Lepisosteus oculatus: one gene and its partners. The protein of the gene in region 2 interacts with the protein of the main gene of each other region in a biochemical or structural test. Links are inferred from orthologs where the notes say so. Each region holds a gene or a part of one and is shown on either strand. Other genes may lie near its edges. The genes, in order: nfe2, mafgb and nfe2l1b.

Region 1 (3,934 bases), on a different chromosome or scaffold from region 2:
TGGGAATGTCCTGGGTACCACAAGCTATATCTCCGAGGATGTGTCCTGGAGTCTGGATGCCTGCGTCGGCGCGAATTGGAAAAGCCTACAGTGTCCCAGCCTTGTACCGGGCCAGATATCCCATGATTCCTGGAAAACACTGTGCTGGATTGTCACTGTCCGGCACCCACAAAAAAAAAAAAGAAGAAAACTGCTTGAATTTTCTCCAGCGAATGGGAAAGGCGCACTCCCTAGTGAACATCTGCTCTTCTTCTGCCTTACAACTGTCAGTTCGCAGGAATGTTCGGAGCAGGAATGTTCGGAACAGCGCAGGGCACTCTGCGCTAATCCGGCCCGTTTTATTGCCGGAACGTGACCTAAGGGTCCGACCTGGACGTCACCGGGCCGACTCAACACTTGTACTCGCGACTTCGGCTCTCTTCGTGGTTGGACCCATCCGGGCTCTTTATACCGGATACCGGCACCGAGGCCCGAGGCACCATTTTAAAAAATCCGATTATTTTCCAGCCGAGGAGCTGAAAATGTGTAAGAGCCCTCGGAAGTGCAGACAGGGTCAGACGGGCCGCGGTACCGAAGGGCTGGACTGCGGCCCTGGCTGGCCCCCATGTGGGGGGCGGATGAGGCGGCCTCGGCCGCAGTGCTCACCAGCCCGTGCTCAGCCAGGGGACCGGCGTGCCCCCGGAGGAAAGGCGGACTTCCCCAGTCTAGAGGCAGAGCCCCGGGAGAGCGTGTGACACAGTCAAGTGGAAAACCCCCCAGGAGTGCGCAATTATGACACAAATCTACCGCTGACGTTTTTGATAAGCATCCTGTATAGGTGGGTATACCAGAATATTCAGATATATATCAACAGTAATTCATCTAGCCAACGCATTGATTCATCACAAAGCGCATTCAGTGGACTGTGAAATATGAACAGGGTACGTTCATAATCTACAGCTGTACGCCAGTTAACGCCACAGGTCACACGGTAACATCCCCTCATGTAATAAGGTACAAAAATTAGACCACAGGGCTCGCAGACACAGCCTGCAGCAGGGTTTGAGGAAAACTGAGCGGCTATCTTCCTAAAGGCAGCAGAGCAACAGGCGTGAGAACACCTGTTAGGAAGTACAAACACACCTGTCCCGTTTTAAAAGAAGATTCAGCTGAGAGACACCGTGGATTTTCATTCCATCATTTACAGTAGATTCATATTGCAATGCATGCATAATGCATGAATTCCCCGTTACAGAGTTTTTTAGGTCCTAAGTTTGATTGCTCTCTGTGAAGTTATATGCTCTCTTTCTAGATAATTTGATGCAATTAGTCTGACTCTGCACCATACACTCAATAGATCATGCGTTTCTTCGACTATACATCTTGTCAGTTTGACTGAATCCCGGCATGTGAGTTCTGCTACCCTCTTTAGTGTCTGCGAGTCAGATATTTTTGCTCACACATTGAGTGAAACTGTGTTTGCACACAGAATTCGCCTGTGACAATATCCTGAATTGTAAGAATAATTCTATAAAACAGACAGGGGTAGCACTGGTGACTATGGCTGATTTAGAGTCAATCAGTAAGACAGAACAAAATACACTCAGCAGAGACCCGATCCAGCAGACTGCAGCTGTGAAAGGCTGTGTAAAAATACATTACTTACACAGCAGTAGTCCATGTATATCCAGACAGGCGGCTCACTGTTAGAGAGAGTGGCTGTGCTCTCCGAGTCATCAGCCTCAAAACACTGTATTCTACAAGCTCATTAAGTACGTTAAAGGCCAGAGAAACTGGTGGGCTGTCTCTCTCATGGGGGAGTCCTGTCAGCCCAGAGACCCAGCAACAGGTGCCCTTTACAAAACACGGAGCTACACATTCCTTTTAATCAAGAGGCAGGTCCAGGTACGCCAAGTGTTCTAATTTCATTAACACCTTTTTCTCCAACAGCCAATGAAAATCCACTACTGCCTCCACCAGCCAGCCTCAGCGCCTCCTGAAAACCCACAGACCCCACTCGAGTGCCGGCATTTATCCCTTTTCTTCTCTACGCGAGTCTGAAAACGAATTGTTTTTTGCCTTCTGCCAAAAAGGATGCAGACTAGTAAGTCTAAACTTAGCGGCGTTATTATCTGGAGCAGTTTTTGGAAGAAACATTTACAATAATACAATAGGCTGTATCTTGGTAGCAACCTTAGACGCCTTGTTAAAAAAAAAAATCTGAAGACATTTTAATGTATTTTTGAGTTTTAAAAAACAATGTATCCTTTCTTTTCCGGACTGCTGGGAAAAACCGTTCTGGCGCTGAAAGCTACACAAAACTGCAATAATTCCTTAGCAGAGCTTTGAGATTGCCAGCTCCATCATCGTCACCATCATCCTGATCCTCAGTACTGAAGTTTTTCTGCGTCTTTTCTCCTACAGTTCTGCATTCTGCACCCAGCATGTCCGCGGACCCACATCTCGTTCTGCGGCCATCCTGTACACAGGCCCTCCTGCACTGGACACACGAGCGCCAGTATCACAGAGCTCTGGACCCTCTGGCCTCTGCCCAGCTCGCAGAGGCAGGGTCCGTCAGCAGTCCTGTCCCTCGGACCGCGGCCGGGACGGACGGCGGGCAGGTGCGGAGGTCGGGCCTCAGCCGGCCGCGGCGCCGCGGATCTTACCTGAGCTGCATGTCCGGGAGGCTGGGGTTCGGACAGGTGGGCCAAGGATGACACCCTTCAGGCGGGGGGTGATAGTCCCGGGAGCTGGGAGAGAGGGGATGGGGGAGACTCCTGTGGCTCCGTGGGCTGGCCGGCTCCTGGCGGTGGCCGTTACATGTCCCCGGCGGCCGCGCCGGTTCCTCTCTCTCTCTCCCCCGTGTGTGTGAGTGCGTGCGCGCTCCCCGCTTGACAAACTCAGAAAGCCACACCGCCTGTCCCCGCTGGCTGATCTTACATAACTGGGATGGGTCTCCGATGTAACAACCTTTCCTGCAGCGCACAGACACACTGACACACACATACACATGCGCTCGCTCACACACACACACCCACCCTCTCTCTCTTATTTCCTAACTCACCGCCCCCCCCCCCCACCACACACACACCCCTCCCATCCAACCTCCCCTCCAACCAGCCCGGCTCTTCTCTTTATCTCCAGAGAAAGAGAGAAATACCACAAACTGAGAAATAAAGCCATCAGCACCCCCCGCCCAGCCTTCCCAAACTCTACCCCCTCCCTTATCCCACCTCTCCACCCCCTCGCCTGGCCGGCCCCTCCACTCCCGCCCCTGCTGTGGTGAGGAGAGCGCAGCCACTGCAGGGAAATCCACTCAGCCGCTCGGCCTTTGCAGAGCAGATGTTCCACCGGCCACAGGACGGCCCCTCGGCACCGGGGCGTCCCAGATCCCAGATCCGGGGCGGGGGGGGGGTTTGTGGAGGGTGGCCCTTTGAGGGGGTTTGGCGAGTGGGGTGCCTTTCTGAGACCCCCCCCCCACCCTGCCAATACACACACACACACAACATCCCATTTTCATCTCAACTCCTCTTTATTATCTCTTCCCCTCTTGTCTTATCGCAGACCCCCCGAATTCTCAGTCTGGCAGTCAGACGAAGCCAGGCCTCACCCAGGACACAGACGCACGCATGTGCACCCCCACGCACATCACCATGCACCCCCATGCACATACACAAGCACACACATGTACGTACACATGCACACACACAAACATGCAAACACGTGTACACGCCTACACGCAGGCACACATACACGCGCATTCCAGCGATACGCCATCTGATCAGCTGAACCCGATGAAGGGAGCTGGACGGGCCGAAACCGCCCGCCTGCAGTTCTGTCGTCGGGCCTGCTGGCCGCAGGGGGGTTCAGGCTCCAGGTCTGGGCCCAGGTGGGAGCGCTGGGCTGCCTGCACTGACGAGCAGGGCCAATCCGTCAGAGCGCCCCACCTGGCAGG
Region 2 (3,934 bases):
ACGACTGTACGGCTCGTCTTGCTCACAAGGGGAAGGTGAGGAGGGGCAGGTGAACTCAACGGCACAGAAGTTACTTCAAACTGGCCGAGCTGGCACACATAAGGAATGACTATTTTTGGAGTGATTGTTCCCTGGTGTTCCAAGACAGACCTAGAGACAGCTTGTAAACACACTGATTTGAAGTAGAACAAGGCCAAAAACAGTAATTACAGACCACCAGTATTGACTTTAATAGACAGCACTACACTCCCACAGAGGTCTGGTATAATCCTCTAGTATGAGGGTGTCTGGAGCTTCTGACTGCATCTAGATAAGATTGTGAGACGCTCGATGTCATAAATATCAGCCTATGCCTCCACTAAACACAGACTTTTAGCCACTTGGCAATCCAGACTCCCCAGATTTTTACATCTCAAACTTTCTGTGCGGAAAGACAAAAAGGTGTTCATTTACTCCGCCGTCCCGTATTGGGGGGGAAAAAAGCGAAGAATGACCAGATCACAGCAAATTCAGCATTGCATCCAGTGACAGTAAAGGCACATTTCATCCTTCAGCCATACTTCAAAATATTTGTCTGGGAAATCGATTGTGATTCGCCCACTTCTGACTGTTATCACCTGCTGAAAATAACTAGCAAAGCCTTTCTCATATAAAGCACAACATCCATTTCGCAACAGCTTTACAGATCAAAACCGTTAAAAACAGTTTGAGTGCCACCTTTAAAGAGAAAGGCGTTATCCTAAACTGTGAACTTTAGTCAAACATCTAGTGTTTCTGACAAGGCTTTCTGACATTGACAGTCATAACGGGACAGGTAAAAATGCCTCCCACTGGATATGCTCAGCTATTCAACAATTCTCCCAGGTGTTGGGGTAAGGCATAGAAACCACAATCCAGCACAATAATCGAGGAACACTTCGGCCATGATGGAAATCAGTCAAAATTCATCCGATTCTCTGACCTGAGTCACAAGCTGGCCATCTAAAAAAAAAGGAGACGTACCACACCGATCTACTAACAGCAAGCGTAACCTGTTTCACTTCTCATTAAGGTTCACCGCTGAGTGACTTCAAAATAAGAAGCAGGAAATATTCTCATACGGAGAAAAGGAAAGTGTGTGTGTGTGTTTTACATAACACCACACAGATACATGCATTGCCCTTTTGTGATTTACAGCACAACCCCACAACAGTTCGACCTGAAGTGGGGAAAAAAATCCAAATACCACCAAGAAGTTTATTGTTCATTTCGTGGTCGTGACGGCCCTGCGGGTTTCGGGATTAACATGGCCCCTTTCGGACCCGTCTGCTGGCCCTGTGGCATCGTCGCACATCTCCCTAAACCGGCAGCAAATAAAAATCACCGATCCTTATCGCCGAGCCCAGACCTCTGTCCGCAGGTCCATGTCAGCAGTGCCTGTCCAGTGCCGCCTGCTCAGCCTCAAAATTCAACGTTGTGATGAATCAGCACATACGGTACTTTCTGAGCCGATTTCGAAATCGAAAACAAGCCTTTAGTATTTTTATAGTTTTAAAAAATAATAATAATAATAAGATAACGGTCACACGGTGTGAGAAGACGACTTGAAACACGGGCTCCGACCTACACCGTTCTCTCAAATTCTCATCCACGGTGTAAGATTACAACAATTTCTTTGTTAGTGAAACGTTTGTTCTTGATCACCCCGATACAATGAAGCGATACACCTTTTACTGTAGCGAAGACATTTTTTTCCCCCCCTTAACTGAAGGAGCGCTTTCTGCTCGCAAGAATCACATTTTTCGAGACGGGCAGAACGAGTTGGCGCTGCGAGCCGACTCGTCTCGGCGGCCAGCGGCACCAGGCGACGCTACGGCAGCCGATGCTGAGCTCACCTTACCTTCCCAGAAAGCCGGCCAGCCTGACCTCTCTCTCCGCCTTACCACAGCGCCGTCGCCCCGGCTTTCGCCCGTTTTTCAGCACGGCCCCCGTTCTGATGAAACAGCAGGTTTGTCCAGCTCAGATGCATTACACATTTCTCGGCAACACGCTCCACGCCGCTGTCTGCCAGTGTGACTGACAGGGGCTCGGCGCCAGCTCTCGCCCAGCGAGGTCCCAGACCAAGGGGACTCCCCGGTAAAACCGAGATTTTACAACCACCTTATCCTTTTGTTAAAAACCCTGTGCCTGCACGGTTCTGACCGCACTCGCCGTGCATGCCTAATGACCCAATCGTGATGAATCAGCATGTCTGGCCCTTTAATGCACTCTCTCTCACACACACACACATCGACATGCACACACCACAGATCTACAGGCAAAGCAAAGGCGTGCACACTCAGCAAAATAACACATCTCTTTCAAATGTGCCGTCCGCGATCGAAGTAAACCCGCCATCGGACTCACCAAACTCAAGGGAGACCCTCTTCCCCACCGCCGGAGGTCTGATATCGGAGTATTTGGAAGTGAGGCGCCTCTATTTCTGGGTAATTTGTAAAATTTACTCCCTCGCCTTCTCCTTGTTGATCCCTTTCTCTTGTGCCGGAGCCAGACGTCATATGATGTTTGGTCACGTGGTTTCATTCATGAAGGATCTACGCAACTGGCAAAAAGGCTTAAAGGGACCGAGGCCACATATTTTCCAAAAAGCACATTCTTCCACACCTCCCGAAACTCGCTCTTTAAAGGGACAGCCGGCTCCCCAAACCCGTATCCCCCCTCCAAAAAAACAAAAACAAAAACAAAACAACGGACTAACTAGCAGCTGTGGCTTTCGAGACAAGCTGGTGTGTTTTGGCGAATTTGGAATCACCCTGCGCCGCTTTTTTTTTTACATATAGTAAGACAGGTCGAAAAAGCAAATATATATGTATAGGTGGGGTAGCCTCAAGAAAGTTTATCTTTTAAAAGTTACATTGTTCCCAGATTATAACTGACCGTTATCCTGATGTGCGTTACAAGACACTGCGCAGTACGTGCGATGTGGTGACTTTCCGGAGTAAAGCATTCCTCAGAGCAGTACGCAAGGGAAAGTCTGAAGAGAAATGCGCAGCAAATGGCAAAACAAAATATTTAACATTCCGCCAGTTTTAGCGGGGTACTAAACGCCGCTGGTGGGGGGGGGCTCTTCTCTCGCAAGTGTAACAGTGGGAAACGCAACAGAAGTGTGTCCAGCGAGCCAGTGGTTGGCCGGGGGCAGATGTGAACGCGGCTCTGCCGAACAGGGGGGCTCGAAACGGGACAGCCCACCTGCAAAGCATTTTCGAAGAGGACTGTCGGAACCTGAGCTCCTTTTTCGGCTCTGTGGTTTGATGGGATCTGCGCACCATAAGCAGAAACATTACAGCACTTCCCAGGAATGTCTTAAAGAGGCAAGCGCAGAACAATAGGCTGCCGTTCCGAGGCGCCGGGATCTCGGATCCCTGTTCGGGAATGCCGGCGCATGTTCTCGTCAGTCTATCAAAACAAATTGCCCTTTTTATCTTTCAATGGAGGCCGTGCATGTCCTACCCTTCCCACCTTTTTTTGTGTGTGTGTGATTTCTGGACCACTGTCAAGCGCAACAATTTGTTTTCTTAAAAAAAACATTTCACAATCATGTCTGTTATCACATGTGGTTTTCATTTTGCGGAGCTGCGCATACACTGGCAAATCACTTGCACAATGTACACGTAGGCAGGGCAGTTTAATGTTAAAGTCTGCGTGACCTCTCTGCTTTTAATAGGTTCGAGACACGTAAATCCGGGCAATCTAGAAAATTTATCGTAGGATATAATATCTGTCTTTAAAAAAGTGAACTACGACACACATTTCTCTTTGGGTCCACACACAAAGCGAAAGCAGATGACTTGTATAATATCCTCATTCTTCTCTTAACTAGTTTTGTTGGAGGGGGAGGGCGGCAGGAGTGGATGTAGGCTTCAATGCAATGACTTAAATTTAGGGATCATTTGGG
Region 3 (3,934 bases), on a different chromosome or scaffold from region 2:
CCAGCGCTGTGAGGCAGCAATGCTGACCCTTTCACAATATGATCATACACTAAATATGTTTGAAGTGATACTGTTGAAAAAGAAGATAGGTCTCACATTGAGAGTGTATCTCCCCTTGCCTGCCAACCAATATGAAACAGCATTCAGGTTCAGCATGTTTACCTAAAGGAAAATTAAAATGTGTTAGATAAGATAAGATAAGATCACTTTATTAGCCATATACAATTTCTTGCATTAGGAAGTCATCTTTTCACAGACCCCAGCTTGCTCTCCATGAGACACAGACAGGGAGAGAAGCTTGGGGTCAGAGGTCAGCAGGGTCAGCTATTTATACAGCACCCCTGGAGCAGTTGGGGTTAAGCCTCCTTTGTGCAAACATTAGGATACGTTTCCCATCTCCAAAGGGGACTCAGGCCAAATGACAAAAGGTGACATAGTAACTCATATTTTCCATGAGTATATGTTATCTTTTTTAAATTTTCTTCTTCAAAATTTATTTGATTATTCCAAGCAACGTCAAGAACATATTTACCCAGGAGAATAACAATGAAGTCACTGTTAGCTACAATTAACTAATAAACAAAATGACTGTTAGAGGCTGTAAATCTTTTTAATCCGCATTAAACAACGGATTTCTCCCTGTGAGGGCTGGCGTGCCTGTGGGTTTGCATTGTAACTCCGCTCTTAAGGAACTAAACCATCTGGCATAACTGGATCAGCTTCTCCCAGCTCTTCAAGTACAATTACTTCAAAGAGACCTGGAAAACCTGCGCATCCACCCATCCTCCAGAAACACGACCTGGACGACCCTGTCAACTTACAAATCACACAGCTACTCCAAGAGGCGGGACGAACACATTGGACTTCCGGTATTGCGTCATTCCCTGACGCACAATATGAATATTCAGCACGAGGCGGGGGCGGCAAACGTCATCTGCAGCGCGCCTGGAATATTCTACGCATGCGCCTTGGGAAAAACGTGCAGCTGTAGTAGCAGAACATTTTTTGCAAGTCACGATGGGCCTGAGTAGTAGACGGCGAGACAAATATCAACATTAGCCGACATTAAATAGGAAAGGAAATACGTCTACGAGCGGATAGCGAATTCAAGGACTCGGTTTTGTATCTTGCCAGAGCACGGACTGTCAAAATCAACACACTGTAAGTATCGGAGGTTTTGACGCAAAAGATTTACAATTCAGTTACCACTCCTAAATGGTGAAGGAAAAGCCTGTGTTAGTTACCGTGTTGGTGTTCAGGAAATTGTCAAGTGTTGGGTTCGCTTTTCTCATCTAAAGAAGGGTTTTAGACAAAATGCTTGAAGCCAAATGTATTGCTTTGTGTTTGTAACAGACAGCTAAAGAAAATAACTCACTCCTATTGCCTCCCTCTACTTCCCTCTCCCATAACCACAGCGGCCTGCCCCCATCCAATCTCCATTGGCCGGTCAGAGGGAGAGTCCGGCGCGTGGGCTTCTTTCTTGGATTTCAATTGGCTGTCTGGGGTGTCAGTCACCATGGCACCACTTGTTGCTAAGCGTTGTTGCCGAGGTAGCGATAGCGGAAGTCTGCCGGCTGGGCACTTCCTGGTTTGTGTTGGTGTTTGCGACGAGGGCGGCCACGCTCGTATTTTTGTCAGTTTCGAGTACGGGACGGCTGGTGGGGAGGGTTATTTAGGAGGAGGAGGGGGGCACAGGGAAGAAGGAAAGTAACGGAGCTGGTAACGTCACTTTGGGAGGGGAAGACATGTAAGAGAAACCTTATAAATTTTCGTTCTCGCATTTTTCACCTTCATTACAACCTCGGTAACTTTATGACACAAGCCAGACGGGACGGGACAGTTGCGGAATCAGCCGACTGGAGACGGGGTTTCGTTTTTTCGAAAGGCCAGAGAGACCTTTCGAAATAATATTACATTATTGGCCATTTTTTAAAGGTTGATCGACTAATATCTAGCTTTTCAGAAACTGTTATTGAACAGACATTTGAAATTGGGATCTACCTCGTTGAGCAAAAGCACTCCATCCCTCGGATCTTGTGACCGATATTGCTGGTTTCTTCGTTTTTCTGTTTTGGTGCAAGAAGAGCTTTGTATGGCCACTGCCTTTCCTGGGAAAGCAAAGAAGGATTTATTTCCAGTTGCAAAACTTAAAAAGACCTTAAGAAGGTATTCATGAGTCCGTGCGGATGAAGAGTGGTCAGCTGTCTTTGCTGTGGAGGAAGTCCAGTTATTGCTTTTTAATAATTTCCTTTCAGTTATTGTTAATAACATCCACGGATTGGGTTCGATTCTTGAACATTTCATCCCTCATGAGCAAGCGGGTGTCGATAAATGTTTTTTGTTTCCTTGTCAAAATATAAAAGCTAGATGACGCACTGGCAGTATTGATAGTCTTGCCCATTCGGTGCAGTGGCTTAACGGTGAATACATTTAGTAAAAGCTAATACCGATTTTAGCTGAAAATGTTAAATTGTGTAGTATGAGCCCCAGAAATGTTTGAATGTATGACTTAAATTCGTAGGCATATCTAGTGAATGATTGAAATTCACGGACATGGACATGAATTCTTAATATTACAAAATACATCTTGGTACAGTAGATGAGCACGTGTCTGTTATATACTAATCCGATTACGAAAGTTAACGAAATAGAAAGTAATCTACATTTCTAGCTCAGGCATTGGAGACGAGCTTGGTGAAGTGAAACTCTGGGCTTTTAACAAGTTCTAGAAGTTTTATCTGCGACCCGAGGCGACGCGAATCGTGTGAAGCGTCGGCTTGGTTCTGTCTGAGCGTGGAGCCGTCACGGGTGGGGTGCGGGGTAGTCAGGTGCTCCCAGAATAAGAGACCGATTTGAGATGTGACAGTGTGACAAACGTTTCATGTATCATGCTTGGCTTGCGAGAGTAAGTAGGACAACCCTGGCGTTGACAATCGGTTTATCGTGGTGTTTGCTCTTTAAATACTCGCGTGGTCTACAGTCAGCTGATCGCTAGTAAATATGCATCCCCCACCCAGGCCGTGTCACGTTAACAATCGTTTGTGTACCCCGCGGTCCCGACAGGTTGTGTAGGCTAAGTGCAGTTAGAGGGGGGCTGGGCTGGGTGCCGGCGGGAGAAGGCCGGCTATTTCCCGGGAAACGGGCGGATTACATCACCCCGCCAGTTCAACCGCCGCCGCGTCTCCAGCACTTTGACAAAGTAGGTCAGCGCACCGCTGCTCTGAGCCGGCGTGGGAATCGGACTCGAGAGGAAACTGTTGCCCTTTCGTTTAGAAGGACTATTCCTTTGCTCATGGAGGGAACTTCACAAACACGTGCCTTTGCATAGGTTTGCGAGTGAAAAGGGTGGGACATGAAAAGCGTTTCAGTCATTTCTTTTTAAAATTGCAACCCCTCAGTGGTAGTTGGGGCTGGGAGGAGGAGGGGGAGTTAGTTTCTAAGCGCAGTTGCGAAATGAAGACCTGACCCCGCGGACACTCGTGTTTTTGGCAGTGTAACCCGACGCCTCGCGGCCCGGTGTCCAGTGCAACGTGCCTGCCCGGGGGGCTGTTTTGTTGTCTAGTCCGCCGTTGCCCGTGGCAACAGGAGCCTCCTGTGGCCGAGCTGCTGTTGCACCTCAAATGAACGTTTAATTCTATCGATTAAAAAAAACAAAAAAAAAGAGCGGCTTGCGGGTTTGCTGGGTCTTGTTAAGGGGCTAATCTGCCTCACTGGGGAGCTCTTGACCTGCCCGCTGGGAGAAGACTCCAGATCCACGGCAGGGGTTCCCAAGCCTGTCCCTGTGTGACCCACACGCCTGTTGGGTTTTGTTCCAGCCAAGCCCTCGATTACACAATCCAGCCTCTCTCACGTTATAATAATAAGATTCATTTGAGCAGCCCCCCTCCCCCCCCAGCGCTTAAACACACTGGAGCTTTAACCGTTGTGTTTTGTA

The links.
Region 1: the proteins of mafgb (region 2) and nfe2 form a complex in vitro, tested with the Homo sapiens proteins (2 studies listed by BioGRID and IntAct, with this or other methods). The link is inferred for Lepisosteus oculatus from reciprocal best matches to the Homo sapiens genes MAFG and NFE2.
Region 3: the proteins of mafgb (region 2) and nfe2l1b form a complex in vitro, tested with the Homo sapiens proteins (2 studies listed by BioGRID and IntAct, with this or other methods). The link is inferred for Lepisosteus oculatus from reciprocal best matches to the Homo sapiens genes MAFG and NFE2L1.

Annotation. Positions count from the first base shown.
Region 1 is NC_090696.1:19,490,684-19,494,617, forward strand, and holds the start of nfe2 (transcription factor NF-E2 45 kDa subunit), read right to left. Parts: upstream 3,033-3,934; 5' UTR 2,646-3,032; intron 1-2,645. UniProt on the Homo sapiens protein: Component of the NF-E2 complex essential for regulating erythroid and megakaryocytic maturation and differentiation. Binds to the hypersensitive site 2 (HS2) of the beta-globin control region (LCR).
Region 2 is NC_090704.1:40,951,646-40,955,579, forward strand, and holds the start of mafgb (v-maf avian musculoaponeurotic fibrosarcoma oncogene homolog Gb), read right to left. Parts: upstream 3,101-3,934; 5' UTR 2,563-3,100; coding exon 2,386-2,562; intron 1,973-2,385; exon of another isoform or gene 1,875-1,972; intron 1-1,874. UniProt on the Homo sapiens protein: Since they lack a putative transactivation domain, the small Mafs behave as transcriptional repressors when they dimerize among themselves.
Region 3 is NC_090723.1:8,971,821-8,975,754, forward strand, and holds the start of nfe2l1b (endoplasmic reticulum membrane sensor NFE2L1b), read left to right. Parts: upstream 1-1,072; 5' UTR 1,073-1,161; intron 1,162-1,244; exon of another isoform or gene 1,245-1,367; intron 1,368-1,580; exon of another isoform or gene 1,581-1,747; intron 1,748-1,753; exon of another isoform or gene 1,754-2,166; intron 2,167-3,098; exon of another isoform or gene 3,099-3,199; intron 3,200-3,934.